Astyanax mexicanus: one gene and its partners. The protein of the gene in region 2 interacts with the protein of the main gene of each other region in a pairwise test. Links are inferred from orthologs where the notes say so. Each region holds a gene or a part of one and is shown on either strand. Other genes may lie near its edges. The genes, in order: regulator of microtubule dynamics protein 2, type-1 angiotensin II receptor-associated protein, fars2 and myg1.

The links.
Region 1: the proteins of type-1 angiotensin II receptor-associated protein (region 2) and regulator of microtubule dynamics protein 2 interact in binary tests that used the Homo sapiens proteins (3 or more experiments, as listed by UniProt). The two-hybrid records come from large-scale screens. The link is inferred for Astyanax mexicanus from reciprocal best matches to the Homo sapiens genes AGTRAP and RMDN2.
Region 3: the proteins of type-1 angiotensin II receptor-associated protein (region 2) and fars2 interact in binary tests that used the Homo sapiens proteins (3 or more experiments, as listed by UniProt). The two-hybrid records come from large-scale screens. The link is inferred for Astyanax mexicanus from reciprocal best matches to the Homo sapiens genes AGTRAP and FARS2.
Region 4: the proteins of type-1 angiotensin II receptor-associated protein (region 2) and myg1 interact in binary tests that used the Homo sapiens proteins (3 or more experiments, as listed by UniProt). The two-hybrid records come from large-scale screens. The link is inferred for Astyanax mexicanus from reciprocal best matches to the Homo sapiens genes AGTRAP and MYG1.

What each region holds. Positions count from the first base shown.
Region 1 is NC_064414.1:41,539,053-41,546,841, forward strand, and holds the start of regulator of microtubule dynamics protein 2, read right to left. Parts: upstream 3,024-7,789; 5' UTR 2,915-3,023; coding exon 2,874-2,914; intron 2,855-2,873; exon of another isoform or gene 2,537-2,854; intron 1,163-2,536; coding exon 737-1,162; intron 1-736.
Region 2 is NC_064431.1:8,274,882-8,282,555, reverse strand, and holds the start of type-1 angiotensin II receptor-associated protein, read right to left. Parts: upstream 3,016-7,674; 5' UTR 2,905-3,015; coding exon 2,878-2,904; intron 2,003-2,877; coding exon 1,968-2,002; intron 1-1,967. UniProt on the Homo sapiens protein: Appears to be a negative regulator of type-1 angiotensin II receptor-mediated signaling by regulating receptor internalization as well as mechanism of receptor desensitization such as phosphorylation.
Region 3 is NC_064413.1:47,016,054-47,023,200, forward strand, and holds the start of fars2 (phenylalanine--tRNA ligase, mitochondrial), read right to left. Parts: upstream 3,014-7,147; 5' UTR 2,933-3,013; intron 1-2,932. Other genes in the region: LYR motif-containing protein 4, read left to right, coding at 3,164-3,249. UniProt on the Homo sapiens protein: Is responsible for the charging of tRNA(Phe) with phenylalanine in mitochondrial translation.
Region 4 is NC_064431.1:32,591,002-32,598,732, forward strand, and holds the start of myg1 (UPF0160 protein MYG1, mitochondrial), read right to left. Parts: upstream 3,013-7,731; 5' UTR 2,953-3,012; coding exon 2,737-2,952; intron 1,609-2,736; coding exon 1,496-1,608; intron 840-1,495; coding exon 680-839; intron 497-679; coding exon 347-496; intron 1-346. UniProt on the Homo sapiens protein: 3'-5' RNA exonuclease which cleaves in situ on specific transcripts in both nucleus and mitochondrion. Involved in regulating spatially segregated organellar RNA processing, acts as a coordinator of nucleo-mitochondrial crosstalk.

The DNA of each region.
Region 1 (7,789 bases), on a different chromosome or scaffold from region 2:
GTGGCAATGGAAGGCCTTCACTCTGATTAGCACTGTGCAAACTGCATGTCTGAGTCGTGCTTAAAAGCAGCTATTGTTTTTGTGAAATAATGTTATGTGCCTTACAGTTCACAAACCTTGAGCACTTTATCAATTGCCCACCAGTATCCACTGCCTTTGTGAACAATGCAATATTCCACATAATGTGCAATCGTTTTCCTTTTTTTCATATATATATTTGTTCTCCATGTATTTCTTACATTAATTGTCTAGCATATATTTATTTTGTTACATTTGCAAATAGGAGTCTGGTGAAACACAATCTCATTAGCAATGCACTCCGTGCTGTATAGCCTAATGTACAATAAAGTTCACTTTGACTTGAGTTTGTTTAGTATTAGTTGGAATTTATGGTGCAACAGCCAATCAGTTAACACACACAGAAAGAATAAGTTAAAATGAAATGGATACATTTTTCAGGGGGTTTAAAAAAAACTACACATACACACACATATATATATATATATATACTACATATATAGGACAGCAATAAAATGATCAGAGGTTGTGCAAGGTTAGTATGTTTGATTCACGTATCACATGATCAAATTTGGTTATTTATTTGGAAAGTGTTTAATAGTCACCAGAGGAGCTTAGATATGAGCTCAGAAATGTGTACTGATAAGTCTACTGTGGTTGACTACAGTCGTGATAAATTCAAAACTGTTTTAGACAAATTGCAGAAAACTGTACGTACCCTCCTTCACTCTCCGCCTCCTCTGAGCTCTGCCCCTCTGCTCTGGGCACTCCACTGGTTCTTTTCCTCCTCGTGGGTGTGGTTCTGTTGAGAGGACTGGCCTTACGGGCCCCACTTTTCACTCTCAGCTCATCCCTCACGTGGTCCTGAAGGTGTGGCAGAGCATCCTTCAGAGCTTTCACCTCCTCTTTCAGTTCAGACACACACTGGATCAAAGCCCCCAGCCGATCCAACACCTCTGCCTGACCTGTCTGCAGAGACACACTGCCCGCATTGCTACTGGAGTACAGAGCTGGACGATAAGTGCCTGACCCTGCGCTGCTGGCTACAGCACGCCGGTTCTGATACCAGACAGCAGCCAGGCTGATCCCCGCTGCCCCAGCCAGAACTCCCAGTGCCAGGACCTTGTTATCAGCCTGAGCCATCCTGCAAAGACAGAGAATGTGAATACAAACTTGACACAAATACTTCAAAATATATACCCAAACCCTAAATATACTATATTACTCAATATATTATTAGTATGTACTTGTTTTATTTGTAGGTGTTTTATTTCTTAATAATTAAGGCAGAGATTAACATACTAGCACTGGCTAAGGCATCAATCAGTGTCAATTCTGCTGCACTACATTTGTAAGTTTTTAAATAATTCTAAATAAAAATAACACATTTAATAAAGTAAAGTATTTTGGGCTTTTAGCCAAACATATCAAAATCAAGCAATCATTTACCTTTTAAAAGTGTTAACTGTCAAACTGTCTTCCTACCTGCTTTTTTTAGTTGAACCTGTTTTTATGACTTGGGCAACAACACAGCTACACATTTCAGTTTCAATCTTTCATCTTATACTAAGTTTCTCAAGAAAAGACTGTACGTTTCAAAGTTCTTGTCAAAAAATGAATGGCAGTGGTTTGTGTTATGCAAACAGAAAATCAAGAAAATCATACATGGCTCATCCAACAGATACAACTGTTTTAAGCTAAATAAGTATTAAAATTGTCAAAAAAAATTGTGCCTTCAGATGCTTTGATGTCATTACAAATGTATTTGATAATTAGCCTATTATTTTGCAGCACTCTTCTTGATCATTTAGGAGACACAGTGAGTGATGCACATTGAGCTGATTCAACAGATAGGCTGTGTGTACTGTAGTTCTGCTTCTAATAACAGATCATTACTGCAACATGGTGAGGAAAACATGAAAGGTGCCACAAAACATTTTTTCAGCATCAGGAAAACTCAGAACAAGCTAGTTTTATTTGAACACCTCACAATAAGTAGTCAAAGTTAAACTACAGAAACACTCCATAATACTACACTGCAGGAGAAACTAACAGCATGACAGCACAGTGTGAGTGTGTGATATCTGAGGCTGAATCTATGTCTATATCTAAGGACTGTTTAAACTTTTTTCAGATGCTGGGCTGATGTTAGGCCGGTCACAATAACAATTTTGTCATTTTGTGTGGATAATATACGATATTATTGTAATTTTAAGACAAATACATGCCACTAACATACTAATAATAAAATAGCATAACAAAGCAATTATACTATTTTAAAGACAACACATCTTTAGATCAATCTCCGTCTAATATATCTATAGAATATATACATTTCATATTCTTAACTAGATTACTAAAATAAAGTAACCTGCTTCTTTACTTTCTCTTCTGTAGTTTAATGATTTCAGAAAGGCAGCTATCTGACATTTTTACAGGTTTGGAAAATTAGTGCTACACACTTTTAGAGAACATGGAAATTAATGTTTTTAAACCGAGACCTAGGATACAACCTTACCTAGTTTTTCTTAATCACTGTTTGGTGTGTGAGTCTTAAACTGGCTCCATAGGTGAGAGAGGAGAGATTAAACCGGATTATCCACAGACCAGCCAGACAGGAAACACTAGTTACTATCTGGGTATTTAAAGAGCACACATTTCAGTCTGGTTCACCAAATATAATAACTGTATAAGGAGAACGTCTCTGAACGTGTGTTTTTTTTTAAACCAAAATAAGTTTGTGTAGAGAGTCTACAGAAGCTGACACAGACAGGGCAGCTAACCTACAGCACTGAGCTACTCTAACCTACAGGGCTCAGCTACAACTAGCCACGCTAAGTAACTACCAAACTGACCTCAGGACGGTCGCAGCGTGATTACTACGAAACTGTAACATAACGAATACACAACAGTGTCGCCCTGAAACACAGACAGACACAGAGAGACGCAGAGCAGTTCAGAGAAACTCAGAGAAAGTGAAAAAGAGGAGAAAAGCCCAGCCTTAATCTTACTGCTCACACCAGCACTCTCCAGCACCTGACAGCCACGGTGCACCTTCAACAACAGTCCGGAGTGCACTCCGCCTTTCCTCTGTACAATACAAATAATAAAGGTTCCGCTGAACGGACACCAAACTAGGGGCTAACCATAACTGTCCTCATAATATCATAAAATACTGATCTGCATAAGAAATAACTGTCTCTCTTTCTCTGTTAATATTAAAGAAATATTTGCACTAATATAATTTCATTAATAATATTAATAAAATATTTCACAAAAGTATATTAATAATATGTGAATACATATTTTACAAAAGTATAATTTCATTATTAATATTTGAAAAAATAGTTTACTTTTAGTTTATTAGTTTATTTTTAAATATTTGAAGATATATTTTACACAAATATAATTTCATTATAAATATTTTAATACAGATTTTTACAAAGGTATATTTAATTATTAGTATTTAAATGCGTTTTTTTTTTACAAAAGTGTCATTTAATTATTATTTTTAAATACATATTTTATAAAAGCATAATTTTATCATTATTTGTAAGGAAATATTTTGCACAAATATAATTTCATTATTAATATATATATTTTTTACAAAAGTATATATTTTTTATTATTTTAATAATAAGAAATATTCATCTTTATTGAGCGGGTTTTGTATAGTTTTGTATACTTTTTTATTATTAATCTTTTATGTACTTTTTGTGACTAATAACAGTTATAAAATCAATTGTATAGAATATTTATTTTCAATTGAATATTTATTTTCATTAATTAAAAATGTACATTTTTATGTCTATCATATTGTTCTTGTTAACTCTTTTACCTCTGATATTAAACTGAATAAACCGTTCTAATAAAAGCATGTGACCGGCACCCAGTGATGTCACTTCCTCTGGTGTGAAACATGAGAAAAGCAGCAAGATACAGTATGTCCAACTTCTCATTATTGTGTGTAAAATGTTAAGGGGTTGAGGGCCAAACATTTCATTACAATATCAACATCTGCCATTTAATTTTTAATACATAATAATGTGTTGAAAATCCATATTCTCCAAATCCATGCCATGTGGGACCTAGTTTAAGGTTTACATATGGTTGCATAAATCATACAAAATAGTAGGATATGTTATTACCGGCAGCTGTTAATGGTTTTAAATGTTTAATGGTTCACAATTAATGAAGGACCCAGATCTCCATCTTAACTTTGATTTATGGGGTCCGCTACTAATATCTTGATTCTACACCACATGTGTCAAACACAAGGCCCGCGGGCCAAATGTGGCCCGCCACGTCTTTTTATGTGGCCCGCGAGAGCTTGTAAAATCTTAGTGTCTATAATAAATAGGTCAGAAGCGTTCTTTGACCAAAAAATACATTTCCCACAATGCTTGTCGATTGTATTACCCGCAAAGTTACGGCTTACTGCCACTACACGGCAGTGTAGTCATTGATGTGGAAACCCTGCCGGAGGGAAGGTGTAACTTCGCGGGTGGAATTGAGACATGTTTATCCCATAATATCCAGAAAAAGAAAAGTTGATGCAGACGGACGGCTGTGCTTCAAGGCGAAAGACCGGTATGCATTTTGTGTTACTGACGAAAATAAACGCTTTTTAGAAGAGATATAAATTATGTGTAAATATTTATAAGACAATAGCTGATAAAATCTGTTTTAATGAGGTTAATAAACATCACTGTGACATCGCTAGTCGCAGTTTCACCTCAGCAAAGGACGAGGAGGTGAATCACTTATCTAACCAGCCTTTACTGATTTCTTCAACAGTCTAACCTTGCAGCCGTGGTGTGTCCACTAAACTCCGTAGTTATAAACATCCTGAGGTTAGCAGCGCGCTAACTGACCTGTTTATAATGTAATCCGAGCAGTGACTCCGGGATGGCTGCTCTAAACTGCTGCTGTTAGCTGCTTGGGCTGAAATATGAACTGTAGAGAGCTGTATTATCCGGTTAGTGGGGTTATTTTATTTCATACACAGAAGAACTTAAAATTTTAAAAACGCTCCAGACTGGCTCAGCTGAGTCCTGTAGCCCGTGGCTGGGCTGTAGCTCTGACTCAGTAAAGACTGTGGGCTTGTGCTGCTGCAGCTCCCACTAGTGGTTGGATGAGGAAATGCTAAATCTGTCACAGCTCACAATTTTTGATTTTATATTAATTAAGCCTCTTTTCAGTATCAAACGTTTTGATCAAAGTTAATATAACTTGTATTTTATGTCATTTCTATTCACTTGTATAGTTTGGTTCTTGATTGATGGAGTTTTTGGATTTCATAACAGGATTTATGTTAATAGAGCAACAAGCAAACATTTTTTCCATGCAACTGTAATATTTGATTGAATAAATAATATATTGAGAGTTATTTAACATTAAGGAGTAATTACATTCATTTACATATATTACATTTGGTTACATTTTCTTATATTTATAAGTTACATCTGGCCCTCGGAGGACAGCCAATATGCCAATGTGGCCCTCGGCCAAAATGAGTTTGACACCCCTGTTCTACACCACAGGACACCTTCAGAGGTATTGTGGAGCCCTTTCATTGACCAGACAGAGCTGTTGTCATGCACAATAGTGAGTATTACTATTCACAATATTTGTTTGGTGGGTTTTTAATGTCATCTTCATGTAGAGTTTAGATTTGTAATTAATTAGGTCAAGATCAGTGTATTTTTAATATAAACATATCTTTAAATGGAGAGTTAATGTGTTTATGTAATGACTTTTAAGAAAGTAAGTAACTTGTTCCTATTTGTCGTCAACATTAGCACAACCCTTGTTTTCCTATCACATGATAGACCTCTTCTTTCACCTTCCACCGTTAACCCATATTAACAACAGCTTATTATCAGAATCTGATAAAAAATGATTGCGGACAAAAATTATCGTTGGCAATATATTAATTTAGCTTATCAGCTCACTTTCCAACCAAAGAACAAGCACTTAGCCCAGTTCACATTATAAAACATGAATTCTAGTGCCAACACACTTTCCGTTAGCCTATTCAGATGTAGCCACACAAACAATGGCAATTTTACATCAAAAGCATTTATTAATTTATAAATCACATAAGCAAACCCTAAGCAAAACAAATCACAGTGTCACCAATCTTCATCCCTCTTATCCCTCTTTATCTTTAATCTGCCACCTTACTTAACCCAATATCACCCTGCGATGTAGTTAAAGTGCCTTTTGGACATTGGATGATTGGCAGTGAAATTTATTGCTATTGGTGTCACATAAAATAGATAATACACACTCACAATAACAAGTGCAGCATTTGAGCTCCTATGTCCATGAAAACTGATCTTGCTTGACCTGAAGATCCCTATGTCTTCACTTAGAGTTAATTATGAGAGTCATACCACATCATAGTTAAACTTCCAAACCTAACTACCAAAGCAAAAAGGCAAAGTTCATTACAGTCACTCATTAACTGTTACCTGAGTCAGAGCAGCATGCCTGAAACAACACTTTATAGCAATAATTCAATGAACATCTTGTAAAATTGACAATGACTTTAAACAGACAGCAGCTGGTTATGAAACAAAATGTGTTTTTAACTTTACTCTCTGTACTCTGCGTTCTTCAGTTTAGTATAGCATAAATCTATATTCAAACTGCTCAATGACCGAATACTTACATGTACACAAACACAAAATAAAATATACAAACGAATTACTATCTATACACATTGTTTATGTAAATATAAGTTAGCAGTGAACCCAAGAATAGAAAATCACCCAAAACTTACTTTACAAGAGCAGACGATTGTGCTGTGTGTTGGAGGTCTTCTCTCTCTTCAGAGCAAAACAGTGTGCCGGACTGCAGTTCAAGAACACATAGTTAATCTGATCAACCTTGAACTGTGTTGTCATTTCATGCAAGGCTGTTCTGACTGGCTACTAATGTTATTTTTTAGGGCCTGGACACATCTGCTTATCTTCATATGTTGCAGGAATTGTATTTCAAGTAGAGAAGGTTCTACTTGTGAAAAATAAATGTTAATATTGAGAATATTAATATTAAAATACTCATTACAAAATTTATCATAATTTATATAGAATGTATAGGACTTTGGGAATGTTAGCTGAATTTATCCATTCTACATCTACAGTTGATGTGTGTTTAAGGTTGCTGTTCTGCTGAAATAAACCAGTTGTGTCCAAGGCTACGTTTAGACTGACAGCCCAAATCAGATTTTTGGCATGTTTATATTGTATCTACTATCCAGATTGATTTCTGATTGTCAGCCATAAACCACATGAATCAAATTTTTGCTAATTGGATCCGAACCAAATATTAAGATAGTGTGAAATGCAATTACAATATAATGTGTACAGGAGTGTCTCAGTCTGGAAGCTCTGGTTGCTCAAATCGAACTTCAGTGTGTATTTTTTTCATTATTCACAGTGTAGCAAACAAGGGCCTCCTCAAATCCAAAGTGACAGACGTGCTTCAGTCCAAACTAATTATGAAGAATTTTCCTGCTTGACTGGTATGAAAACCTGTATCCACAAAGGTTTAACATGCCTGATATAGTTTATGGTTTAATGTTATACCATATAGATAGCGCTTTTCATTATTCCATTTATTTGTGCTATGCACCAGTTCCACTGGCATTAAACAGCCCCAAAGCATGATCCTACCACCACCATGCACCATGCTCAGTCTAAATTCTCAGCTGAAGATCACAGTTTGTCTTTCTCGCTGGCTGAGTGTTTCCAACTTGTATAAT
Region 2 (7,674 bases):
AATAACTTGAATAATGGCATTTGGAAGTCCCTTGTATCACTACTAGGGGTGACTGACTGTCGTCTGCAATGCAATCCAATCTAGATCATCACAGTAGTTTATCAGCAGTTGGGGTGGTGTATCACTCCACAGCAAAGGTGGGACTGTGCATTTGAGTGCATTGTACAGGCATGTCTATTAATCAGTGATCTCTCACCAAAAGGTATACTGCCCAAAAGTAACCTCTGAAAGCCTTTTTAAAAGGTCAGTGGGAGACACTCTTACATCCTCTTGTGGCTTAAGAGGCCCAGTTTCTAATTAGATCACACCTCTAAGCATTTACATGTGATAAATAATTGAATATCAAGTTTTGCAGGAATTCAGAGTCTGTTAATAAGGAGCTAAATTCATGTCTGAATGCTTTTAAACTAAGAGGTATTTCAGTCATGCGGAAATAATGCTCACTGGCGGATCTGAGACGCATTTGCTCAGAATCTTGGTGTGTGTTTTTGACTTTATCAGTTGTAGCTCTTCATCAGCAGTCAGCAGTTTCTAATATGCACTGTCCTTTGGATACTTTTGGCTGGAGAGCTACACTCAGTTAGTTTGATATGCACAATGAATCTATTCACCCCAGTCATTGGGAATCATCAGAGTTTAATGCCTCTAATAGGGGTGTATCAATCCAACCCAGTAGATCTGGATCAGAGAGTATCAAGAAATGTTTATTTTTTTGGGTTTTAAATGAAAAAAAAATGCTATTTATATGCTAATTATCAAGCAATATACAGTACCAGCCAAAAGTTTGGACACACCATAAATTCAGTAGTTTTTCATCATTTAAATTGTTAGATTCTTTAAAGTAGCATCTCTCGCTTAGATGACATTTTCGCACATCCTGGCTTGATTTTCTTAGTCAGATTCATGAGGTAGAGTCACCTGGAATTCAGGCATTCAGTTAACAGCTGTGCTGAACTCACCAAGCCTTAATTACTTGAATTTTAAGTTCTGAAGAGGTAGAGTTGGTATACAGTGAATAGGCATATTTGAGTAATGTTCTACTCGAAGGCAATAACTACTCAACTAAGTAAAAAATATATACTTTAAGAAATAAAGGTCAGTCATTCCAAAACATTCCACTTATTAGGACCACCCCAGGAAAGGAAGTGTAAGAGTTACCTCTGTTGTAAGTCCATCAAAATTACCAGCCTCTGAAACCGCAAGTTAACAGCACCCCAGATAAAAGCACTTATTTATTTATGTTGATATAATTCCCGTATTGATATATACAGTATAAAAGCCTGCATCCATGGTGTAAGTAACACAATAAACAATATTTATCACAAAAGTTTGACACTCACAAAATGCATCAACAGCGGCAGATTCTTAAAAAAACAGAATTCAACTATTTTATGCACAGCACAGTGATAGTTGCTGCACATTTACCAATTAAACAGGATTTTGAACACTCTCTATAATGAAATGTACAGTTGGGTCATAGTAATTTAAACACTAATTATATGCTCTACATGCTTAAAAAGATCTGACAAGTAAATTTATCATGATACATTTAAATAGTCATGTTGCTTAGCTTCACTTAGTTGTATAAAGTGTTTGAAAAAAACATTCCCAACACAATAAATGTTATATTACTTGTATACATATTTATTTGGAAGATTTCACTTTTCAGCACAAAATTAAAAATTGGTAAAAAAAAATTCTGTATTTTTTTTATATTGCATTGCAATGTAGTTGTTTCTCCCTGCTTTATTCACCTTGCGGCTCTATTTGTATTGCCTCATTTGATTAAAATCAGTGGGATTGACTATTTAGACAAGATCAGCCGTGAGGAAAGTGAAAGCCTTTTTCAATCCAGACATTTATCCCAAATAAAGCCCTGAAAATCCCAACCTCTCACAAACAGACGGAGCAGCTGGGGAAATTCCTCAGGTACGTGAGGAAAAACACCAAGGAGCCACTTTACTCACCAGATAGTCAGCAACCAGTGGACCAGCACGATGGCCTACAACACACACACACACACACACACACACACATGTATAATAAACACATTATATTATAAAATATACAGTACAATGGTAACCTACATATTAATAATAAACACACTATATTATAACACATACAGTGGAATGGTTAACCTATTCTATTGTGGTGAAATATAACAGTAATAAAATATTTTGAGTAAATCAAAACAGATCAAGCTTACAAAGAAAAATTCTACAACTTGCAAATCTAGGTCAATCAAGTTTCCATCAACATTTAATTTGTTAAAAATGTCTGGTCTGTTACTGTCCACTACAGCTTGCCAGGAAGGACAAAGGCATAAAATAATAAGTTATATTAATTTTAAAAAATACTTTCATTGAAAGTTAAACGTATAATAAAATACACTAATATGTGTTTTACAATATACTGTAAACAAGTAATGCAATAGCATCGTAAACCTAACGCTTTAACCTACTCACAATATCCAAAACCTTTAATTCACTTTTTCATATCTTTTCATTGTGAAGATATTTGGTGCTTTCAGAAATAGCAATACAAGCAAACACTGATTCACACTCACACACACACACACACACACACACACACACACACACACACACACACACACACACACACACAAATTCACTAATCCAGTTCAAAGACGTTCACGTGCAACCATAAAGCCTGTTACACATCTAGAACATCATAAAATAACACATTCTGCCTGTATAACATGATTAAATCAGATAAAACACAGCAGATAAAAGGATGGAGATAATGGTTCTAATAGAAACACCTGATGAGCAGAATCTGCTGATAGAATTAATAAACTAATAAAAGCTGACTCTTTAATGCTTCAGCCAGCAAATCTAAACACAGGCTAATGTTTACCTTGAGGTTTATGGCCGGGATTTCCATATTGTGAGCTGTGATTGTCCTCAGCACTTCAGATTGAGACTGGGGGAAAAGTTAGTGAAGTCCAGCACTGTGCTGCTGCTGCTGCTGCACTGCCGGACTCAGCCATGTGACTGCAGCATGACTCCACCACGTGACCCTGATTCCTTCCTAAATAAACGCCAGAGAGCACTGAGGTCTTATACAGCATCTCACAGCCTGCCTAATAACACATTCCACTGATCAAATCAGATAATATCTATCTATCTATCTATCTATCTATCTATCTATCTATCTATCTATCTATCTATCTATCTATCTATCTATCTGTCTGTCTGTCTGTCTGTCTGTCTGTCTGTCTGTCTGTCTGTCTGTCTGTCTGTCTGTCTATCTATCTATCTATCTATCTATCTATCTATCTATCTATTAGGGGTGGGCAATATTATATTGTATACAATTTATCGTAACACAGAAATATCATGATATTAAAAATCCATATCGTGATAATAGAGATGTTCTGTCTTAAAAGTAGTCCATTATTTACTGTGAAGATTTAGGTGTATGTATTATATAATTGTTTTAGTTTAGTTTAGTTTTTGTTTTCAGTTTATATGCATGAAAATATTCTGCAATATTTTTTGCTGCATTATATTATTTTAGGCTATATTATTTATTTTGCCACATTATGATTATACTGTTATACTATTATACTATATTCCTGAAGTTAATGAATTATTTTTTCTGTTTTCCTATATTGCCAAGTATATCGTTATCGAAAAAATACCCTGAAATATCGTACTGTTATTTTAGAGCCATATCGCCCACCCCTACTATCTATCTATCTGAGCGCAATGAAGTCTGTAAATAAAATAATATCTATAATAGAGTCTCTGTTATCCTTACCCATATTATCTGGGCGAGCATATTTCCCTACTTTGTGTCTGTTTCAATTTTATTGCTTTAAAAGTCTTATTCCATAATTTTTAAATTAACTTTAAAATGTCTAGTTGTGGTCTCTAGTATGAATGAATGCCATGTGTGCTGGTTTTTGTGCTCTGGTGATTCGGCATAACTGTGCTTTAGTCCCGTGGAGGAGTGGAGTGGGAGAAACGAGGATTTCTGCTTTTGCTCATTAATATTCATACATGCAAACATATCGTCTCTGATTGGCTAACAGCACTATGACTGCAGCGAGATGGACAACAGATAGAAACATTTTAAAATAAAGACATTTTTACACTAATGACAGTATTTGCAATGTCATATGTTACTTTACAACATGTGTAATGCCCTGCTAAGTCAAGTAAGCCACTGACTTAGACTCATAGTCTCTGTAAAACACAAAATCCACCAGAGATCATATGTAAACACATGGAGGTGGGTAATCCAGGTCCAGAAAGAAAAAAAATCAGCTGAGTTGCAGCAGAGCCGCCCAGGCATTCAGAACAAACTCCTGGGTGCACTTTTTACTTTTAACTAGTGTAAACACACACCTACCTATCTCAGTTGTACTGTGCTGGTGGTATTCTACAGACAAATTCTAACTGTTTGAATAACCTCTGAATTACTGGGGAAAAGCATATAACACTAATATATTATTTACACAAATAATACAGGAACAAACTGCTATGCTGTTTCTAGTCCTGTTAGCTCCATGATGGGCAAGGCCATGAATATTAATTCACAGATTAAGGTAGAGACTGTGCTTTTACTGCTCGACTCGTTTTTCTGAACATTTACTAGCTACTGCAGGCAATGGTTGAGGAACAGTTTCATGTGCAGCATCAATATACAACTCAGAGAGACCTACTGTATTTCACAAAGAACAAGAAAAAGTGGATTTTAGCGGAAAGGGACCTTTAAATTCTTAAAAGATTATATTAAATGTATGTTTGTCTCTACTACTTTCACTGCATGGCCCACAGTAACTATACTTTAAATGTGGTATTTTGGTGACGTTACACGCAATAAACACACGTGCCTGTCAACCACCGATGAAGAGCTCAAGGTACATTAATCTAGATTCAATGTGCCAGTTCGTTTTTGGTGCAATTACCCATTCTCAACAGAGAGGGCCCTCAATCCCAAAATTTATGGACATCAGCTGTAATAAGTGATTGTATATGCTCTACTGTTATGTGAGTGCTGGGATGCATTATTATTTCAACACAATGTATTACACAATTCAATAAATTAATGAATTCATGAAAAGCTTGTGTGCTAGTGTGCTCTGTGGGTGTGGTACTGTCACAGTACCACAGTATTCAGTAAAGATGGCGTCACAAAATCAGTTCAATCCATCAGTGTGTAGTCTTGTCCACTGGGGCTACGCTGAGTAGTCAGCTTTATTATATATTTATTTATTATATATGTTTTGAAACTTTGTGATGTAATGAAAGCTGATTTGAATTTATTTGTTTTGATACAGACTTCAAAGCAGTATATCGAAACACTGTGTTTTTCAAATAAATTGATTTAGTTCAAATCTGAGTTTAACATTACTGGTTGTAGGGCATAAAAGCAAGTTACCGTTTTCTTTACTGCAAAGTGTTATTGATTTTGACTGGCAGAAGGGAAGCAGGGTGATTCTATCTTATACTAAAAGACAAAAAACACAAGCTAAACTCCCTGGAATAAAAGTTAGTAATTAACTGACTGACTAAATAGAAATAACTATTAGCTGAGTACTAAAGGAAAGGCAGCCTTGGTTGACAAGACTACACACTGATAGTGAGTAAGGAGTGGAGGATATGACTATTATGCAAATAAATAATGCAAGAAACCAACAAGGGCCATTACATTTACTTTCATATTTTTAAGTAATTCTGAAACCAATACTTAGACACTCTTACTGGATTAAAAAGCTTGAGTTGACACTTCAACTTCTACAGAAGTATTTTAAACTCTAATATCTATACTCTCTTATCTATACTTATACCTGGGTCATTAATTTCAATACCTATGATAGCTTTGGTCTTCCCCACCTCATTCCAAAAGTATTGGGTGGAGTTCCAGAGAACACAGTTCGACCGCTCCACAGCTCAATACCTCGCATTATATAACACTTCTCTACAGGGACTGGAAAAGCTAGATAGATCAATATATCTATCCACCTTGTTCTTCTTAACATTCTTTCCCTTCAGTTACAGTGATTCATTTTCTTCATTTGTGCATTCTGCTGGTGCACTGAGAGTAAATCTGGGTTTAAATACCTGTGTGGAGTCCCTGAGGCGGGTGAGTTTCAGCCTGTATGTCTGCGCTCAGCTTTATTGGTGGGGAGTCTGTATTTGTGCTTAAATCCCTGGTTATGAGTCTACTGAATTACATTATATCGTGACATTTTATATTCCATCATGGGATCCCCGGAACAGAAATGAGTTGTCCTGTGTGAAATATCAACCATGACAATTCAATTTCTTTCATGTATTGTATTTGGGCCGTGTTATTAAAAAGGTTTGAGCACACAGGAGAGAAAAGGTCTACACAGACTTATCAAAGCGAAAGCAAATCAAGACAAATTTTCATGATCTACTGTCATCTAAACATTAAAATCAGGCAACATTTAAATCATTGATTTGATAAAGCCCCCTGAAGCACAAAATCCCAGAGCCAGGAGACCATCTACCAGCCTACATTTATAAAAAACTCAATTATGAGTGTGATAGACGGATGCGGGTGTGTTGAATTAGCCAGCTGCGCTGTGTATTGTGTGTGTGGCGACAGCTCGTTAGCTGTAAGTCAGTTATGAGCTGTGATTGGATGAATTAGACGAGAGTTGAGACAGAAGGCCGGTTTTGGGGGGTGCTCTCACACCCTGTGGGGATGGACGTCTTTGTTGTGTGCCACGCGTCTGGCAGATGGGACCTGCCTACTCACTCGTGTTCGGTGGCAGGTGTGACCTTTGACCTCCATCTCTGTCTCCCTTGGCTAAACAGTGTTATTGTGTTTAGCAAAAAATCTAATCTACCATTTGTTTCTATTTTGCGCAAATATATTAAATCAGACAATGTTTGGGGTCTGACATTAGTTGAGCTCTGAACCATGTAGTATTCTTCCCTATACTACCCTATTTTTTTTATAATTCACTATAATCCGTTATACTGCCCTGTACTCTGTATACTACCCTATACTTTCTATTCTTCCCTTTACTCTTTTTACTACCCTACACTCACTCTATTATCTTACTCTGTTACTCTCATGTAATCTATATGCTACCCTATACTCAATATTCTTAATACTCACTGTTCTATATTATCCCATACTTACCTGCACTACCTATACTACACTATACTCTCCAAAACGTCCATATACTACTCTCTACTCACCATAATATAAACCCCATACTACCCTGAACTCCATGTACTATCCTGCACTTCCCTATACTCCCATTTTCTACCCTTTATTACCCTACACTCCCTATACTACCTTATATTATGTAAAACATCCCTATACTACACTCTACTCCCCATTCTCATTATATACCTTATACTATCTATACTAACCTTTCCTTTCCATACTACCATACACTCACTCTAGTATCTTTTACTCTCATGTACTCCCCTATACTTAATATAATACTACTTATTTATCTACATTACACCATACTACCCTACATTCCCTATCCTTCCTTATACCATCTAAAATTTCCATATGCTATGCCCTACTACTCCCCATACTCACTATAATTCCTTTTACTACGTTCTACTCCCTACACTCACCTATACTGCACTTTTCATTTACACTAGCCTATAGAACCTTATACTATCCAATACTACCCTATACTACCTTTTCCTG
Region 3 (7,147 bases), on a different chromosome or scaffold from region 2:
CCCGAATATTCGGGTCCAGCCCTAGTGGACATTTTTAAGGCCCCATTAATAGACATTACTGCCCAGCACCACTAAACACTGTGCTCAGAACCGAGTTTATTGCTAATGTCCATACACACAGGCTACAAAAACACAAATCACAGCAGATTAACAAGCTGTAAGCCAGTTATTTCACATCAGTATTCAACAAAGAACAACAGATTTCAGTCAAACACATTAAGAGGCAAGAAATTTAAGTAATTAACTCCTGACGAGGTACAGCTGTTAACTGAAAGCCATTCCAAGTGACTCTACCTCATAAAGCTGACTGAAAAAATTCAGCCAAGATATGCAAAGCTGTCATCTACCCAAGACGTGCTACTTAGAAGAATCTAAAATATAAAACATATTCTGGTTTGTTTAATACTTAAATCCATGTGTTTTTCTCCATAGGTCGTATGTAGGGTTGCAGCGGTAACCGGTTTCACGGTATACCATGGTATTAAAATGCACGGTTATCATACCGTGTGTGTTTGCTTATTACCGGTAAAACGCAAGCCAGCGGAGAAACTCACCCGCGCATGCGCAACTCTGCTCCGCTTCAGCTGCTCAGCACACAGCGGTGAGAACAACAGAAAGTGCATCAGACTAAACAAATCTCCGTCCGCCTAAAAAAAGGCTAAACTAAAATCAGCAGTGTGGGACTATTTCGGATACCCGCCGAACGCAGGATGGTTATCCGATTTGTAATCAATGTGGCCGTAAAGTCACAGCTAAAGGTGGACATACGTCAAACCTGTTCTCCCATCTCCGAGAACACCACCCCGCTGTGCAGCGCAAAGTATGTGTTTAGCTTATAATTTTAATCTGAACCTAAATAAAACCTCTTTGTAGTCGTGCACAACCCATGCAGTAAGCGCCCGCAAAAGCGCTGAGTTATCCGAAATTTGGGCACGCAGGTACAGGCGTGAAGTGCGTGCTACGATGGATTCACGTGTCCGTGTAAAGGTCCTGGCCGGACTGGATGTGAAAGACGCCATTCATTTACATGCGTTCATTTTCAAATTCTGACGTGCCTGTTTTTCAAATGTTAAAACCAGACTCGGTGTGAAAGCCTTAAAATAGAAATCTCTATTGTGAGGATCATGTCAGAAATAAATCCCCTCTTTCTGCAGTATCTGGTTATATACCAACTTGGCAGTAAAACGGACGTTTACAACAGTTGTTGATCAGACACTGACCCAGGCTCAGTTTATCAGATATTAAATAATTTAAACTTAAATAATTGTACTGAATAGTTTAAACACAGGATCTTTACTTCTTAGAGGACATGTAATGTGTGTAACGTGTGTGTATGTGTGTATATATATTATATATATTTATATATATTTTTTTTATATACACTCTTAATGCCCTTAAGAGTAGTGGAAAAAAAATTTTTCCTTCACCTGATGGTATACAGCTTATTTTTTTTTAAGGAGACATTAAAATTATAATTGTTCCAGGTTTCTACAATAAATAGTTAATTGAACAAAAAACCTTTGTTGTAATTTCTTTAAGGGTCAGTTTAATAATATATGTAACAAACTGTGATACCGTGATAACCGTGATACCGCGGTATTTTCTGAGACGGTTATCATACCGTGAAAATCTCATACCGTTGCAACCCTAGTCGTATGATTTTAGTATTAATCTACAAAGGATATTGTTTTATACAACTTTTTAAATAATGAAAAAACAAACAGCATATTTAAGGTGTATCCTACTTTTAACTGGTAATATTCATATGTTTACATACTTTCAATGTCAATATATTTCAATAATGCTGAATGCAAAATGCTTTTTAATAATGCTGAAGTGAAAACATTCACTAAACAGTCACATTCACAAACTCCTTCAACACGTGCCGACATGTTCATGCTCTCTCTCTCTCTCTCTCTCTCTCACACTATCTCAGTCTCCCTGTGTCTCTCTCTCACACACACTTTCTCAGGTTCTTTATCTGTCTCTCTCACACACACACTCTCAGTCTCTCTATCTGTCTCTCTCTCTCAGTCTCTCTCTCAGTCTCTCTGTCAATCTCGTGCTCAGTCTCTCTACCTCTGTCTTTCCAGCTCCTACACAGTCTCTCGCTCTCTCACAGTCAGACTCTGTCTCTCCTTCACACACATTCTCTCTCGCAGTCTCTCTCTCCCACACACAGTCTCTCGCTCTCAGTAACTGTCTCTCTTTTGCTCAGACTCTGTCTCTCACTCACACACTTTCTCTCTGTGTCCCTTTCTCTCTCTCTTCACAAAGAGAGATACTGGCCAGGCTAAGCTTGCTGTGTGACTGTCTAGGAAGAACAAATTGAAGGAGGGTGGCTCTCAGGATGCTGGAGACATGCTTAAAACTCTGATAAAGATTAGATTGAAAATTGATTTAGTTTTTTAATGAAGATTATTTGGTCTTGTGCACACAGAAAAATAGAAAAGCCACTTATTTTAGTTTGACCCTTTTTTATTTTTTTTTTGTGTAATGTAAATTTTTAATAGTAAAATAAAGCGTGCCAAAAGTCAAAAGTGTCTCTTTCTCTCTCTCTCTCTCTCTTACTCACACACATTCTCTCTATGTGTGCATCTTTCTGTCTCTCTCTCTCTCTTTCTTTCTCCCTCTCTCTCTCACTCTCTCTCTCCCACTTTCCCTCTCTCTCTCTCTCTCTCTCTCTAACTATATATATATATATATATATATAATATCTCAGTGACAGTAGTGGAGTTTATCAGTCAGTCTGTAAACAGTAAACACAGTAAACACAGCTATAAACACACAGAGAACGGAGCTGAACCCGGGCTGTGCTCTGAACGCGCAGTATAAATGAGCTGTGAGTTTAGAGAAGAAGGAGGAGGTGAATAATATAAATAATAACAGTATTAAGTTAATAAACATGCAGCCCTCAGACTGTCCCACTCACCTCTCTCAGACCCGCCGCCTGTCAGAAACACGCCTCACCTGCGCGCGAGCCTGATCAATATACACACCCGCCCCGCGCTCAGCGCTGTACACTGATTAATATCTGAATTCGCTTTATTTCTACAGCCTGTTTAAACTATAAAACTGTTTATTTGCTCCGCAGTCGGAGCGCGAGAGGCGATAAAGGCGGGTTTTCTGTTCAGGCAGTGTTTTAGTCGCCTTTGTGGGAAAGATGGCGGCGTCCAGTAGAGCGCAGGTGCTGTCTCTGTACCGGAGTCTGCTGAAGGAGAGCAGGGCTTTCCCCTCCTATAACTACAGGTATTTACACAATTTACCCCCTTAATACCCCACCACACACACCTGCCCTGCGCGCGGGGGCTGTGTGAGGTGGGTGTGTAGACTGTAGAGCTGTTGGGAGTCTGGGTTCTTTTCACTGACAACACAACTCACTGTAGTTATCCCCTTTCTGTTAAATAAATCTCCAATAATTTGCTTTAAAACGTGTTTTCTGTGTTTATTATTTATTTCTCGGTTACTTTGTACCTTTAGAAATCTCCAGCTCTTGTTGTGAAACTTTAAAGCCCATATAAGTGTACACGAATCAGTCAGAAGTATATTGTGTAAGCTCATTAGCTAGACTCCTTTAAAGTCCTTCAGGAAAAAAAGAACTATTGAGAAAGTTCATTTATTTGTATAAATTCTTTACAGCCCGTTTTTTTTTTTTTGTAAACCAGCTTTGGTTTGTAAAAACAAACATATGCACAGGGAAAAAACAAACTGGCAAGCTTTAGGAAGAAGCCTAGCCTAGCTCTGGGGGACCCATGCAAACAAAAACTACTAAGGATTGTGTAATAAATGGTAAAACGTCACCTTACCATAACATAAGGCCATTTCTATTTACTGGTGTACTAAAATAACACGTTTAGCAGTAGTAGAAGAAGGTTTAGCAGTATAAGTATCAGTATTATTAGCATTAGCAGTGGTAAAAACTGTACCACTAGCAGTTGTACTAGCATACGTAGGAGCAGTAGTATTAGCAGTATTATTAGCCATACAGTAGTGGTATTAGCAGAAGTAGTAGCAGTATTATTAGCAGTCGTATTCATATTAGTAATAGAAGTACTAACAGAATGGTAGCAGTATGTGTAGCCGTATTATTAGCAGTAGTAACAGTAGAACTATCATTAGTACTAGCAATAATAGTAGAAGTAGCAGCAGTATTTGTATTTTAAAAAAGTGTTTGCTGTAGTAGTAGTAGTAGTAGTAGTAGTATAAGTAACAGTAGTACTATTAGAAGTACTAGCAGTAGTAGCAGTATTATTAGCAGCAGTGACAGTAGAACTAGCATTAGTACTAGCAATAATAGAAGTAGCAGCAATATTTGTATTATAAGCAGTATTTGTTGTAGTAGTAGTAGTAGTAGTAGTAGTAGTAGTAGTGGTAGTAGAAGTAACAGTAGTACTATTAGAAGTACTAGCAGTAGTAGCAGTATTATTAGCAGTAGTGACAGTAGTATTACCATTACTAGCAATAATAGTATAAGTAGCAGCAGTATTTGTATTATTAGCAGTATTTTAGCAGTAGTAACAGTAGTACTATTAGAAGTAGTAGCAGTAGTACTAGCAATAGTAGTAGAAGTAGCAAACATATTTGTATTATTAGCAGTAGTAGTAATAGTTGTACTGGCAGTAGTAGAAGAAACAGTAGTATTAAAAATAGCTGTACTCGTATAAGTAGCAGAACTCACTGTAGTTTATCCCCTTTTTGTTAAGGGAAAACTCCAGTAAATAGGATTAAAACATGTTTTCTATGTTTTTCTAATGAGCACTGTGATTTATTGGTACATTTAGAAATCTTCAACTCTTGTTGGGCAATTTTAAAATCTATAAGAAAACAATTAAACGTATAAAGAATCAGTCAGAGGTCACATACAGTAGCAGATCATTAGCCAGGGGGCCTTAACAGCCCAGACCCTGACCCATTTAGTAGTTAAAGTTGAGGCCAAAGTTGTTTAAAAAATATATATATATATATATATATATTTGTGTTAAAAAAACACTTTAATGTTTCCAAGTTAATCACATGTTAAGATAATATAACCTTGACCGCACTTAATGTAACTGTTTAGGGTGAAACAGAGTTAGAATTCGAAGCCAACTGGATTCCATTTTCAAAAGACGGTACCACATCTATTAATAAATGCCTGGGTCATGCTTTTATTGTGGGTTTTGAGGTGTGTTTAGTATTGTTATTTTGCTGGTGTTTAATTAAATAAATTCTTCCCTGTACTACTGGTTTTAGGTGATTCGATGTGTAGGGCTAGATTAAGAGCTGTGCCTGTATTTAGGCTGCATTTCACTCTTACAGCTTTATTTTGTACCATTGTATCATTGACAGTCTGAGGGCTGTATGCAGACCAGATTAAAATAACAGTTCATGAAGTTCATCAGGTGGCCTCTCTTTCTTACAGTGAGAGATGGGCTGCTGTGTTTTGTTTTTCCCAAAAGTGGGAAAGGGGGACACACCTGTTTCAGTAAAGCAGTTACAAAACTATAGCATATAGCTGCATTAGATTGTAACAGCTTTATTAGTGTCCTTATATTCAGTCTGTACATGTTTATTTTTTATTATGCTGTGGTGATATGGCAACAGGGTCATTGCATCCATGAAGGTCACACCCCACAACGGATTTAAAGGTTCTGCTGTAAAATACATTGTGGTGGCTTGGTCCAGTTTTTTTTTTTAGACTTACCAAAAAATAGACTTACTGCTGGGGGGTGGGCAGATTCATTTTTATATACTAGCAACAGGGATTTGCTTAAACTGCCCAAGTCCTGTGTTTACTTGGCCACAATACCATCCAATTTTGGATTCTTTTTAAACTGAAAAAAAAATAAAAAATAAAATACAAAGTTTAGTTTGTTTACAGACCAATTGAACACATACAGTAAATGTTAAACCAGCAAGCTTACAGAACACACTCCAATCTGTCTGTCTGAAACTCTACTTATAGTAAACTGTTTAGATGAGAATGATGATTGAGCGACTGGACGGAGCAAATATAGAAATTAGCTTTTTATCTAGATAACTTTAGCTACTAGATTAACCCATCTTCAGAGAGATTTGAGGCACACATTTCATATTTCTTTGCCTGAGTGTATAACAACTTAGGTGGACTTTGTTTTTGTTTTTTTTTCTTCGTTTTTTAATATATATACCCCCCCCCCCCCACCACCACCACCTCTTTTCAGAGAGCTACATAAAATTTAGTGGGTGCCCCCTTTCTGGGTCAATCTTAAATGCACAAGAATGAATTAAGTATTTTGGCCTGTAGTAGCGAGACATAGAGCATATGTGATATATCAGTTATTCATGAGTGATATGTATGAACCATCCTTGTTAAAATGTTTTAGTACTGTGCTATACAGTATTACCATTATACCGCAATCAATCAATCAATTAATCAATCAATCAACCTTTATTTAAAGTACATTGAGGGTGGCCCTCATTTACAATGTAGCTGAGCCAATACATAGGGAAGTGATTGTCAAAGAAAAAGAATAAATAAATAAAAAGACCTAGCACTTTAATAAGATATGAAATAAATAAGATAAAAATAATTTAGTAAGAATCATAAAATCATAGGTAAGAAAATCAAAGGTTATAAAAGAGGTAATAATGCAAGAATGGCATTATTCTTGTTTATTTCCTGTGTATAACTTATTGCTTGTTTCTTGACCTAGATAAGAGCTTATGTTGTACCTGCCTGCATGTTTTAGACAATCTTGAATAACAGTTTTCTAAACCCTGAAACGAAAACCTTCTGCGCATGCAGCCTGCCTCAACACATTCAAACGAGGCCCTTAAACATACATTTTTTCGGTGTTCTTGGCAATTAAACCGAACATTTATTTTTATGAATATACTAATGTAACAAAATAATACTGATTAAGAATAATAATAATAATAATAATAATAATAATAATAATAATAATAAAAACAACAATAATAATAACAATAATAATAACAATAACAATAATAAAGTGTATCAAAATAAATTATGTAATATAATGTAACATAAAGACTTACCACAATACAATAAGTGCAAGCTATTTAGTGTGTGCATATATAACTACAAACATTAAAGCTTCACATTAAATAGCAAAGCAATATAAGAGTAAACTGCTGAAATAGACTGCAGAATATGGCTATTATC
Region 4 (7,731 bases), about 24 Mb from region 2:
TTGGTTTTTAATCACAGTTTTCATTTCATGCATCTTGGCATCACGTTCTCCTCCACCAGTCTTACACACTGCTTTTGAATAACTTTATGCTGCTTTACTCCTGGTGCAAAAATTCAAGCCGTTCAGTTAACAAAGTTATTTATACATAATTTTGAATTTAATGTGAAATTTTAACAATTTTGCCTTTTTATTCATTTTTTTTTGTGTGTTGTTCCAATACATACTAAGGAAATAAACGGAAATTAAGGGTCTATAACAAAACGTGTGTAACTGAATTCATTTTCTTGGACAAACAATTTGAAGAAAAAATGTCAGAGGCTTCTAATCAACCTCAAACCTCACGAACCTCAGTGTCCTGAGACTCGCTGTTCCAGCGCGGGTTCAGATACCCGACGCGAGCGCTGAGGGATGTGGTCACGGTGTAACGAGCTTCTCCATCACACTGAGAAATCCCATTATCCACTGCATCCACCTCCTCCACAAAGTTCTCATACATCTGAAACAAACGGAGAAACAGGAGATCAGAAAGATAATTGAGTGATTAATTAAGATTGAATTGAGTATTTATTCCATTTTAAATGAAGCTCCAAATAAACTTGGACTGTCAAAAAATTATGCTAAGTACTTCTGCATCTCAAACAAAACGTTATTTTAAGTTAGAAAAGTTAAAGAAATGAACCTTATCATAGAGGATTCCCAGTTCTCTGCTGTCCTCCTGCAGGTGTGTGAGGTGGGAAAGCACCTGCCGACCAAAGTGAACATAAACCAGACCGGCTGAGCTCAGTTTAGTCACCCACGGCTTCTCCGGACACAGGCTGTTAAACGTCTCTACAAAAGACCTGGTTTAAACAGAAAACATACCCTTAGAATCAAACTGGTCTATAAAAAAAGCATTTTAAACAAGATTACTATTGTATTTTTGTTTTATGTAACTAAAAACCCACTCTAATAGATTTGATCTCTCATGCTTTTTACTTCATTACCTTACTTAAGTAGAAATGTAGGTTATCTTAACTTTAGTGAAATAATTATTTTAAATTTTCACACAATTATCTGAACTTTCTCCTCCTTACATTTTAAAAACAGCCTCGTTACTCCTGTTTCATTTCAGCTCGATTTCATTCCAGCTTCTCATCGTTTAATAAAACCCCCATCCAGATAAATCTAGATAAATCTAAATATCCAGATAAATAAAGGGGTAGTGCACTATAGGACTCTGTGGGCGTGGCCTAATCTTTTGTTCTTAATGGCTTTATTTTTTCCCCTTACATTACTTTTACTTTTATAGTTTAAGTATAAGCTTTGAAATCAGTACTTTTATTGTACTTTTACTTAAAGAGTAAAAAGCTTGAGTTGATTATTCTTTAACTTCTACAGAAGTATTTTATTAAACACTAGTATTCATTCATTATTCTACTTACAGAACATTGAATGGAGATAACGGCCAGAGTTCAGGTTGGTCGGTGAATCTAAACTCTAAAACAGACAGAATTACCTTTGATGATGATCATAACGGTGCTTTTTAGGGTCAAACACTCCTCCAACATCCACCACTATGTCACACTGCTCCAGCACTACCGGGTCACGCGTCCGAACTATTTCAGCATCCTGTCAGAATCACAGAGACAATTACTGGATTTAAAGTTTAAACTACACAAAAATCATAATTTACACAGCCAATTACCCAACCCACTCATTAGGACTCCCCCTGTCACTAGTGATGCTCCAACACCAGGAGGATGAAGACTAGCACACACCTCCTCCGATACATGTGAAGACAGACTCTGCCTCTTTTTGAGCTGCTGCTGATGCTGTAGCATTACCAAGTAGCATCACAGCGCTAACACTCGGAGGAAAGCGCAGCGACTCGGTTCTGATACATCAGCTCACAGACACAGCCTTGTGCTGATCCACATCACCCTAGGAGTGATGAGGGGAAAGAGAGAGCGCCATCTACTGTACTGTACCCACCCAGAGAGAGCAATTGTGGACAATTGTGCAAACTGTGCTCTCTCAGAGCTCTGGCAGCTGATGGCAGTCTTTTGTTTTAATTTTTTACTTACTTACTTACTGTATTTCTGTAATTTCATGTATTTGTCTGCCAGACTGCCAAAGACAAATTTTTCATTCAATATAAATTTAATGGACAATACAGTTTTCTTATCTTATCTTATCTATCTTATCTTATGGCAAGCTGCATGAACAGGATTCGAACCAGCTCTCTCTTCCGATTATAGTGGCATATATATATACAGCTCTGAAAAATATATCTATAAGAGAGCACTTAAAAATAATGAGTTTCTTTTTGAGTTCAATTTTACCAAATTGAAAACATCTGGAATATAATCAAGAGGAAGATGGATGATCACAAGCCATCAAACCACCAAACTGAACTGCTTGAATTTTTGCACCAGGAGTAAAGCAGCATAAAGTTATCCTCCAAAAGCAGTGTGTAAGACTGGTGGAGGAGAACATGATGCCAAGATGCATGAAATTAAAACTGTGATTAAAAACCAGGGTTATTCCACCAAATATTGATTTCTGAATGCTGTGCATCTTTTTTTTTTTTTTTTTTTGTTATTTCAGACATTTCTAATTTTCTGCAACATAAACCTATAAATAGCAAAATCAGAGAAACTGATTTAGAAACTGAAGTGATCTCTTATTTTTTCCAGAGCTGTATATGTTAATACAATAGTGAATAATAGTGAGTATTAGATGTAGAGGAGGGGTAACCTGGTACTGAGGAAGCTGCTTGAGGAAATAACAGGCCAGAACTTCATCACAGTGAAAAGATCCGCTGTGGGTTCCGATCTTCATGGTGCTGATCTCCAGACAGGCTCTCTTAGCGCTCTGCATATAACCTCTATACCCCGGAGCCCCGCGAGTTATATAACCTCTTCTTATAGATATTCTGTTTATACACACAAACACACACTGAAATATTCTCATCGGATCATCCCTAACACACACCACACCTGACCCGCACGCATGCGCACCACCGCTCCTCTACTCTTCTTCTATAGCGCCTGAAGAAACTTCTACACCAGCTTTACCGCCCCCTGCTGTACTGGAGGATACAGCAGAATATACTAATGCATATTAAAACATTACAATATCATCAAAAACTTACTTTATCTCAGTAATTAGGTTAAAAATGTGAAACTCATATATTATATAGATGTATTACACACACACAGAGTGATCTATTTTATCTATTTTAATAGATATAATAAAAAAACCTGAACAAAAATCAGCGTCTCAGAAAATTAGAATATTATTATAGATAATAACAATTGGTATTTTTTTCGGCAGTGTGGGCAGTGTGCCAAGTCCTGCTGGAAAATGAAATCCGTATGTCTATCAAAATTGTTCTCAGCAGAGGGAAGCTGTAAGATATGAAGTGCTGTAAGATTTTGTGGGAAAACAAAACTGCACTGACTTTAGACTTGATAATAAAACACAGTGGATCAACACCAGCAGATGACTGACATGACTCTCCAAACCATCACTGATCATCAGTAAATTTTACATTTTATTTAAAGGAAATAAAGGGAGCAGAGTCTGGAGGAAGAGTGGAGAAACACACAGTCCAAACTGCTCGAGGTCTAGTGTGAAGTGAACTTTTATGGAGATGCGGATTTCTTTTTCCAGCAGCACATTGGGCACACTGCGTATCAAAAGTACCAATTGTTTTTATATAATATAATAATATAAATTTTTTCTGAGACACTGATTTTGAGTTTTCATTGCCTGTAAGCCATAATCATAATCAACAATAAAATAAATAAACACTTAAAATAGATCACTCTGTGTGTTTAATACATCTATATAATATATGAGTTTCATATTTTCAACTGAATTATTGAAATTAAGTAACTTTTTAATGATATTAAATTTTTTGAGATGCCCTAAAAAAATTATAGTAAATGTATGAAACACTGCACTTTTAAAAATGTCCATTTTATACAGCGTTTAAACATGTTTTTGCAGGCATGTGTCATTCATTCATTGTCTGAGGTTGTTTTTGTAATTGTGTTGATATGATGAATCCACCAGAGGGCGGCCTTTGCTAAAAGAAATACATATATTTAATTACAGGTTTCTCTGATTTTGCTATTTATAGGTTTATGTTTGAGTAAAATGAACATTGTTGTTTTATTCTATAAACTACAGACAACATTTCTCCCAAATTCCAAATAAAAATATTCTCATTTAGAGCATTTATTTACAGAAAATGAGAAATGACTGAAATAACAAAAAAGATGCAGAACGTTCAGACCTCAAATAATGCAAAGAAAACAAGTTCATATTCATAAAGATTTAAGAGTTCAGAAATAATCAATATTTGGTGGAATAACCCTGGTTGGTTTTTAATCACAGTTTTAATTTCATGCATCTTGGCATCATGTTCTCCTCCACCAGTCTTACACACTGCTTTTGGATAACTTTATGCTGCTTTACTCCTGGTGCAAAAATTCAAGCAGTTCAGTTTGGTTGTTTGATGGCTTTTGATCATCCATCTTCCTCTTGATTATATTCCAGAGGTTTTCAATTTGGTAAAATCAAAGAAACTTATCATTTTTAAGGGGTCTGTTATTTGTTTTTTTTATTCATGATGCGTTCTCATGTGAACATATATCACATTTTCAGGTGGGAACTCCTTATGATTTAGTCTTGTTACAGAGGAAATCTTATACATACTGATAACCACAGGTTATTCACACACAGCTTATCTTTCCATTTATAATTTAGCACAATAGAATTCCTCACATTCTTCAGTGTGTGGTAGTCGTGAGCTCACTGATACGGGATGGTGATATTTGAATTTACACATCAGACACTTACAGACACGTGATGATATATTTCACAAGGCAGGAAACACCTCGGGAAGTTTCAGTATTTAACAGAGTTCCTGAGTTCCTGAGTTAATCTACTCCTTTATGGGTTATTAAACGCACTGCATGCTTCACTGAGCTCTGATTACTGTCTTCCTTCCATTAAAATGAATTCAGGAAGTCAGGAAAGCTTTAGTCATTAGCTAATAATTTGATATATTAGCCGTGTTACAGAGACAGAATTCTAAACCTGTAGCTTTATTGGGTATAATACACTGAAATCTCATTTTATCTATTTCCAGTAAAAATACACGTTAAATTGGAGCTAATTTTGCGCAAAAACTATTAAAAGTAACCACATAAAAATGATGAGTTTCTTTGATTTGACCAAATTTAAAAACATCTGGAATTTAATCAAAAGGAAGATGCTTGAACTGCTTGAATTTTTGCACCAGGAGTAAAGCAGCATAAAGTTATCCAAAAGCAGTGTGTAAGACTGGTGGAGGAGAACATGATGCCAAGATGCATGAAATTAAAACTGTGATTAAAAACCAACCAGGATTATTCCACCAAATATTGATTATTTCTGAACTCTTAAAACTTTATGAATATGAACTTGTTTTCTTTGCATTATTTGAGGTCTGAAAGCTCTGCATCTTTTTTTTGTTATTTCAGTCATTTCTCATTTTCTGTAAATAAATGCTCTAAATGAGAATATTTTTATTTGGAATTTGGGAGAAATGTTGTCTGTAGTTTATAGAATAAAACAACAATGTTCATTTTACTCAAACATAAACCTATAAATAGCAAAATCAGAGAAACTGATTCAGAAACTTATTTTTTTCAGAGCTGTATACTGTGACATGTGAAGGTGGGGGAAACTTCGCAGCCCCGGTTGGTCCCAGCTGGAACTCGTTGGACTGATTGGGACCGTGTTAAAAGCCCTGCCTGTTTTTACACTCTCTCCCCTTTTATGTTTGTTATTTTGCCTAATCAATTTACTTCGTAATATATCCACAATAATCGCATATACTTCCGAAGAGGGAGGATGTCGGGCAAAAAAAAAAAAAAAAAATATATATATATATATATATATATATATATATAATTAACCATTATATTTTTTTATTCTTTTTTTAGTCTTGGTCTTGAGAATGTTATGTCTATGGCTTCAGTGTTTACCCAGCATACGGATGTTAGTAATGGGAGCAGGAGGGGTTAAACAGGGGTTAAACATGAGCAGACACGGCTCTTCCTGGGGCCTAGTTGGGCAATTTCATGGGAAAATGAGTGTAAGAGAGAGAGCTGTGTAAATATATATTGTTTTTTTTTTTAAATAAACTATTCTCAAGAACCAGGATGCAGAATTAAATCTCAGTTATTACTCTGTATGTAGAATAGAGTATAGATACTAGTGTTTAATAAAATACTTCTGTAGAAGTTAAATAAAGTATCAACTCAAGCTTTTTACTTTTACTCTTTAAGTAAAAGTGTTTAAAAAAGTACTGGTTTCAAAGTTACTTAAAGTATAAAAGTAAAAGAAATGTAATAAAAGGGAAAAATAAAGTAATTAAGTAAAAAAAAATATATATTTTTTCTAAAAGCCATAATGACTATAATGTTCTATTATTAAAATGTTAATGTTGATAATATAATTTGGGATTTTGCATTAGGTTCCCTAAAGTGTTTCAGCTGCATATATGCTTTTATTAAAAATGAATGTATTTTACATACAGAACAATGTAAATATATTAACCCTAGTGAAAATAAAGTAGACTGAAGTATACTAATCATTATGATGCTCATTCACTCGTAACTGTGACACCGACTCTTTAACTGTCACTCCTCTACACCTCTCAGACCACTTCTTCATGCAACTCAACGTTCGCATTTCGAAAAAACCCACAGCTACTCCTACTACGGTCTCGTTCCGCCGAAATCTTCGAGATCTCCCAGCAGACCAGTACTCCTCGCTGGTGACTGACAATATGCCTCCATTAGGCTCATTTTCATCACTCAATGTTAATGATGCCACTGACACTCTCTGCTCCACACTAAGCTCCTGTTTGGACGACCTCTGTCCTCAAACATCTCGAGCCATTAGCTCAAGCAAACCGCAGCCATGGCTCAAAAATGACACGCTCAGGGAACTACGCTCCAAACTCTGAAGCTTAGTTGAAGCTGCTGAAAGAAAATGGCAAAAAAAGCAAAACCAGACAGACCTAAAAAACTACCAACTGCTCCTGGCTTCTTTTTCAGCCAGCCTCACTGCTGCTGAAGCTGAATTCTATCACAAAAAAATCAGCTCCCTCACAGACTCCCGGAAACTATTTGCTACATTCAAAACACTACTCAACCCTCCACCTCCTCCTCAGGCTACCTGCCTTACGGCTGAAGCTCTTGCCTCATTCTTTACTGGGAAAGTGGCAGCTATCAGCAGACAGTTTACTGATGCGACATGTAGCGGTCCTACATCATGCTCTGCTGCCCGGTATCCCTCTACCGAAGGCGTCGCTTTCTCCTCGTTCGCTCCTCTCACTGAGAACGAGACACTGGCTCTCCTAACACGTAGCCGTCCTACTACGTGTCCGCTTGACCCGATTCCTTCAGACCTTCTGCAAACCATTGCACCTGCAATCATTCCGGCTATTACTCACACGATCGATGCCTCTTTAACTTCTGGTGTATTCCCGACTGCTTTTAAACAAGCACAGGTCACACCACTGCTTAAAAAGCCTTCTCTCAACCCCGCCCAGGTTGATAACTACAGACCGGTCTCACTACTGCCTTTTCTTTCTAAAACATTAGAAAGAGCAGCTCTCAATCAAGTCTCTGGCTTCCTCACCCAAAATGACCTCCTGGACCAGAACCAATCTGGTTTCAAGAAAGGGCA